Linked DNA regions of Xenopus tropicalis. The protein of the gene in region 2 interacts with the protein of the main gene of each other region in a biochemical or structural test. Links are inferred from orthologs where the notes say so. Each region holds a gene or a part of one and is shown on either strand. Other genes may lie near its edges.

What was found. The genes of interacting proteins can lie anywhere in the genome.
Region 1: of the proteins of khdrbs1 (region 2) and yes1, one has a biochemical effect on the other in vitro, tested with the Homo sapiens proteins (2 studies listed by BioGRID, with this or other methods). The link is inferred for Xenopus tropicalis from reciprocal best matches to the Homo sapiens genes KHDRBS1 and YES1.

The regions. Positions count from the first base shown.
Region 1 is NC_030682.2:108,007,903-108,011,560, reverse strand, and holds part of yes1 (tyrosine-protein kinase Yes), read right to left. Parts: intron 3,377-3,658; coding exon 3,197-3,376; intron 3,090-3,196; coding exon 3,013-3,089; intron 2,919-3,012; coding exon 2,765-2,918; intron 2,365-2,764; coding exon 2,233-2,364; intron 1,039-2,232; coding exon 830-1,038; 3' UTR 1-829. UniProt on the Homo sapiens protein: Non-receptor protein tyrosine kinase that is involved in the regulation of cell growth and survival, apoptosis, cell-cell adhesion, cytoskeleton remodeling, and differentiation.
Region 2 is NC_030678.2:86,525,383-86,528,460, forward strand, and holds part of khdrbs1 (KH domain-containing, RNA-binding, signal transduction-associated protein 1), read left to right. Parts: intron 1-765; coding exon 766-882; intron 883-1,499; coding exon 1,500-1,646; intron 1,647-2,135; coding exon 2,136-2,308; intron 2,309-2,640; coding exon 2,641-2,836; intron 2,837-3,078. UniProt on the Homo sapiens protein: Recruited and tyrosine phosphorylated by several receptor systems, for example the T-cell, leptin and insulin receptors. Once phosphorylated, functions as an adapter protein in signal transduction cascades by binding to SH2 and SH3 domain-containing proteins.

The sequences.
Region 1 (3,658 bases), on a different chromosome or scaffold from region 2:
ATTCTATTGTCTAAAACGCTTAGGACCCAGGGTCTTCTATATAGAGATGTTCCATAATTCCGTCATTTTTCAAAAACCCAATACTACTGATTTTTTTCTTTTTGCAAACATGGAGTTACCAGCAATTGAAAGGGATTGTCTTAATATTACAGAGGAACAACCAATCCAACAAGAATAAAGATATGAAGATATGGATGATTTAAGCAATAGACTGCAAGGAATGGCACTGCTTGATTTCTGAGCAATCGGGATAAAAGGTTTCTATGATAACAGATCCCAAACTTGAACTTCAAACTGCATAATGCGAAAAAATAAGATATTCAGTTATATTAATTGAAATGGATATTATCTGTATGTCAATTACCACCATTCATTTCTAAGATTTTTTTTATAGACCTTGATCAGCTTAGTGACCAATAGCAGTATAATAATCCCTAATGCTTAATTGCCTAAGGGACTGTCTCTATGTTCAGAAGACAGTAGATACATTGTTCTATGCCATCATTGGCAAAGATGTATTATACAGGAATGAAATGTTTGGTCCCACTGTTATTCTGCCTGTAATCCTGAAACATTTCCTCAGAGATCAGAAATGTGGGATAGCCGTTAATTCTTTTATGTTTTTTACCAATTACATAGTCCATTAGATTACAATACTTTGAAAGTGGTCTTGTGCAATGGTGTTCTGGCCTTCCAGTTTGCCATTGACATGCAAAGATATACTGAATGTTCTTTTTCCATTTCCCATTAGCAAGAGTTAGTGTTAAGAAAGTCTCTCTATACTTTTGGCAGATTTGGACATTTCACTTTTCTTGCTTAGTTTTTACACTTATAGATTGTCCCCAGGCTGGTACTGTGGCTCTGTTGCAGTAAAGTAGTCTTCTAAAAATGACTGAATATATTCAAAGGTTGGTCTTTCATCAGGGTCCTTCTTCCAGCACAGCTTCATCAACTCGTGAAGAGATTCTGGGCAGCCCTGAGGGCAAGGCATTCTGTAGCCCCGCTCTACCTGCTCCAAAACTTCCCGGTTTACCATGCCTGAAAACATATTAAAAACAGTCAGTTCTAAAATACAGAAAAAAATTAATGATCACCAAGAGATGATTTTCTACCAAATCTGAAATATATCTAAATCATCTTAGCCCTATATATGGAACAATTCTCGAAACACTCCTTATACAATATTCCACCTTGATTCCCGCAATAGTTTGTCAGGCCCAAAACCCAATCTCCATCTCATTCTAACTTAAATGCCTTCCCCTTTGTCAGTTTTCTCATTCCAAAATACCTCCCCATCTTAACTCTCCACCCAAGCTTCTATTTTTTATAGCCCTTGTTTCTTAATATCTCCTTCAAAAGACTCATAGCAGGCTACTTCCATCTCATGGAGTTAAATAACATGCTCAGACTCTCAAAAAAATGAAAGCTTGTGCCACTCGTTCTCTAACCACTGTATATTGCGTAAAGCCCAAATGAACATGCATGGATACTTAATTTTGAATAAAATGCCTTAACTACTTATGTACAATAATCCCTTCATGGGAACACTGACCTTTGTGTTGAACGAGAGGAGAATTAAAATGTAAATATGTTTATTTCCTTCTGTCCATAATTGAGCTGGGTTTTCTGTTTTTTTCTGTCTGTCTTGCCTCGTACTATTACCATATTAATTTTATATTTCATGTTTTTCCCTATGGCACTAGCTCCTTTTTTCTGTTTTTACATTTTGCTGTTGCATTTTCTCACAGGGTTTGGCATATGTATGTATTTTTTTTTTTTTTTTTTTAAATATATTTTATTTTTCTAGTTGTTTTCATCATGCAGTGACCCACTCATGCTACATGCTGTAGGTTACTAGTACTTACTGTGACTGCTTATGATGTGCCTTAGCCATACTTAGAGCCTTACAGGCAACAAACGTTACCAACAGTCCTTTATCCCAAGATACTTTGGTAGCTTAGGCAGTCTCTGCTCAGCTAAATAAGGTGCTAAGAGTTCTGGAAATGTGAAACCCCAGGTTTCAACATCATGCTAAGAAGGTGGTACTTTGAAGCAAGCAATGAGCATCACCAACTCAACTGAGTCAAACAAGCCCAAATGAAACAAACCAAAGACATGCTTATGCCCTTTTCTTTAGTCTGTTCTGGTACTAGCCTTGTGGAAAGCAAAGTATACAAATGAATAAATGGTGGGTATACAAATGACATTTATAATAAAGAAACCCCCTTATACCAGGATAAGGAACTCTCCCTTTGGTGACCAACTCAGTTAGGAGGATTCCAAATGACCACACATCGGATTTAATGGTGAATCGACCATATAAAGCAGCCTCAGGTGCAGTCCATTTGATTGGAAATTTTGCTCCTAAAATACAGAAAACATATAATTTGGATTATTGTAAAGGCAATGTTTACAATTAATAAAAACTACAGCCAGTTGACATTTCACCACTATTAACTCTAACCTTGCCGGCAAACTATTCTTCACTGGAATGTTTTCATTAGGGACCACAAAAGGGAAGGACTTATGAAAGGGTTGGGTGTGGTCAAAATGGCCCATCTTTCAAATCAGAAATGTTAGGAGATATAGGATACTGCCAACCTCTCTACTTCATTCCCTTAGATCTCAAATCTTCTCAAAGCATCAGAACAGTGCATTGTATTAAGTTTTAAGTTTTCTTTTGACATATACACATACATACACAACATAACTGAAAGTTACCATAGCAGTCACACACTTTAAGAGGGAACGTGACAAATCATACCTTGCCTTGCAGTGTATTCATTGTCTTCTATTAATCTTGCCAAACCAAAGTCAGCAATTTTACATACAAGATTGTCTCCAACAAGAATATTAGCAGCCCTGAGGTCTCTGTGAATATAATTCATCCTTTCAATATAAGCCATGCCATCTGCAATCTAAAGCAAACACAAAATTGAACACCATTAGTATGCAACCAATGCCAAAGGTGTTGCAGCAGACCTAATGGACCAATGCAAATGGCTGGATTACCTGTGCAGCCATGTCAACGAGTTGTGGCAGTTTTAAATACTTTCCATCACCTTCTTTAAGAAAGTCCAGCAGACTACCTGTACAGACAGAATAAAAGTTTCATTCCCCACTTTGTTTGAATAACTCTAGAGATATTGTTATAGTCTTTGTGCCAAAGAGCAGACAGGTTGTCAGACACACATACCCTTTGTCATGTATTCAGTGACTATGTAGATTGGCTCTTCTGAAACAACAGCGTAAAGGGGGACCAATTTGTCATGCCTGAGTTTTTTCATGATTTGTGCTTCTTGCAAGAAAGCTTCAGGCATCATTGTCCCTGGTTTTAGTGTTTTGATTGCTACTTTTGTTGTTCCATTCCAAGTTCCTAAATAAAATAAAACTTTGCATAACTATTCTAAACAAACAAACACACACACAAACAAAATGCATAGCTCACTAAGCTTAGAAATATAAATGAATAAATAAATACTTCTGAAAGGATGGCCTTCCGTGTTATTATAATGGGTACTTAGTATGTATAGTATCTACAAAGAATGCAGTTTATAATTGAAAGGATACAGGCTATTACATATTATACACATTATATACCTAGCTTGTATGCATTTATGTTACTTGACATTATAAAAGTTAATTTAAGTACATTGGA
Region 2 (3,078 bases):
AAGATTCTTTAGGAAACAATTGTAAAGCTTACATGAGAAGGTTGCCGCAACATACATTAAAGATTCCTGACCTGAACAAATCAACCAGTCACTCCAGTCTGATAACACTGTTGGGCTACATTCTACCACATGGCACCTTTGAACTAATTACATGTAAAGCCATTGAGGAAACTGTAGGGAAACTTTGCAATAAGTCTTTTTGCAGCAACTGGCTTAAAGATTGTTATGCAATGGTTGATCTTCAGTGGTCTGATGGCGTGTCGACCCTACACAGGGATGGCTCTGTTTTGTTGCTTTTTTGCAGCTTCGCTAAATGCCTTTATGTGCCGATGTGCTAAAATCAACCTGAAACAAACCTTCCAAGCAGATGGTTTGGGCAGAGTAGTCAAAATTGGGTTACGCTACTTGAGCATGTATAGCCAACTTAGGTCATCTTACATAGCTTCCTACCAGTCCACATAGGGACTGCAAATGGCCAATCACAGTCCATATTTGGTACCCCAGGTTCTTTTTGAATACTTGTGTTGATCTATAACAAGTTTTTAGATTGGAATTGTGGCTCAAGGATAAAAAAAATCTGGGGACCGTCGCTTTAGCTGTAACTTGTCTTTGTTGCTTTTAAGATTCTTCACTCACCCCATATGTGATTTAAAAAGCAAATTATTATGATTGCGAGTTAATAAATAACTTATATGTAAGTGAAGTGTGTAACTTGGGAAGTGTAAAGAAGCCTTTTGTAATCATCATTTTTACCCAATTTTGTAGTTTAACTTTGTTGGAAAGATCCTTGGACCACAGGGAAACACCATCAAAAGGTTACAGGAGGAGACTGGAGCAAAAATCTCTGTTCTTGGCAAGGGATCAATGAGAGATAAGGCAAAGGTAAGGGCTAAATTATTTATTTTTCCTGTTAAAGTGGACCTGTACTTTTCAAATTAAACATGAAACCCAAATTCATTTCTATATTAACACATTCAAACCCATTATAAAGGCATTAAAAAAGCTATCAATCAAATATTTCCTGCCCCGCCTTTATGCCTTAAGCATAGAGGCGGGGCAGACAAGTACTTAAACTTTCAATTCAGCTCTCACTTTTCCCCTCCCTCCTAACCATCTAATTGTGTAGCTAGTGCATGGGCATCTGGTCCCTCATTCTGGCACATACACAAAATTTTGGGGTGATACAAAGCAATTTGCAGTTGGTTTTCATTTTATATATATATAATTTTTTTTTTTTTAGTTCACGTTCAGCTGCTCTCCTGTTTTGTTTTTTTTATTTTTTTCAGTAAATTTTCAGTGGCTTTTATCAGCTATTTGTTTGCTGGGGTCCAAATTATCTTGGCAGCCAGGGAGTAATTTGAATGAGGGACTAATATATGGATAGGAAAGAGCATGAATAGAAAAGTTGTAAAAAGTAACAATAAAATTGTAGCCTCACAGACCAATAGTGTAATGTGTAAAAGGAAAACCCATAGTAATAATCATGTCATTGATTTCAGGAAGAAGAGCTGCGGAAAGGAGGGGACCCCAAATACAGCCATCTGAATATGGACCTTCATGTGTTCATAGAGGTCTTTGGACCACCATGTGAATCTTATACACGTATGGCACATGCAATGGAAGAAGTCAAGAAGTTCTTGGTTCCGGTATGTGTAATCAATTTTTTTTTGTAATGTAATTTGCTGTAAAAATATCCTAATCAAGTATTAGTTAAGTAAGTACTGAATAAAGTCAAAGGATTTTTTCTATAACTTTACTGTAAACTTTTAGGAATTGGCCAAAAGCAAAATGTGTGTAGTTTTTTTGCTGCTGTTTAAACAAGCACTGAAATTATTATAGATTTAGGAGAAAAGTCCACACTTTTTTGACTTCTGAAAAGTTTGTCTTCCGCTGGACCTTTTAAATTAGCTTATTGTAACCATATAGTGATAGTAAAGTTGTTGGCTCATTTTTCATTTTTATGTTATAAATGTAAAGAAGTAAACTGATGTCAATGGATGTGTGGTTAGGTGTTGATGGCTGTAATTAGAATATTGCATAGCAGGTAGAACACTAACTAACTTTTTTTTTTTTTGTTAATCTTCAAAACTACTCAGCAGCAAAGTCCTGAGTAAACAGTTTTCTTATTCTTTTAGCTGACACCTGAGTCTTTTTCATACCAGGACATGATGGATGATATCTGTCAGGAACAGTTTATGGAGCTATCTTATCTTAATGGAGCACCACCAGAGCAAAGCAGAGGTGGAACAAGAGGTGGACCATCCAGGGGCAGAGGGGGTCCACCACCTGCTGCAGCTCCTTCTTCTAGGTAATCTCTAAGGCAGCTAGCTGCTATGTTACTCCTTGCAGGAATCAAACTGTCAAACAAAACTAAAAATTGTTTAACCTGGGTCAGCCTCCAACCGAACTCTCACCTTTCCTTTTAGCATTCTTCAGTACTGTATAACCCTAGCTTTTCAAGCATTGCCAGTTGTGATATTCTGACTTACATTTGCTAAGGGTTACAGCAGAAGCTTTGCAAGTTTGTTACTTTTTGGTGTCACTCCCCCCTGTCAGCCCTTTTTCCCCCTTTAAGGTAAACTTTTGTATGCAAGATGTTCAGGGTTTTGGATGAGACTATGTACAAATTTATATTAACAGAGGCAGGGCTGGGCCTCTTCGCCCTCTTGTTCCAAGAGGTGCCCCCGGACGTGGAGCCATATCGCGTGGTGCTAGTGTGAGCCGCCCTGTACCCCCTTCCTCTGCTAGCCGAGGTGCACCCGCTGGAAGAGCCCGTGGTGCTGCTATCCAGAGAATCTCTCTTCCACCTCCTGCACCTGAAACATATGATGAATATGTAAGTGTCCTACAACATTTTTATTATTTAGTTTTGAGGACCTAGTCTATGTATGGGTTTGCAGACTGCTGTTGTCATTGAATACTGGAATGTTAAACAATACTCCTAATAACTTTACAAATGTTAACCTCCTAGGTCACTGCTGTCCTACTTCTGTGGTACCAAAGGCTGGAATTTTTCTGGGCTAAATTGTAGAGGACTGATAATGGAAGCCAGTTTTGACCACTCTCCTTTTTTTTAAA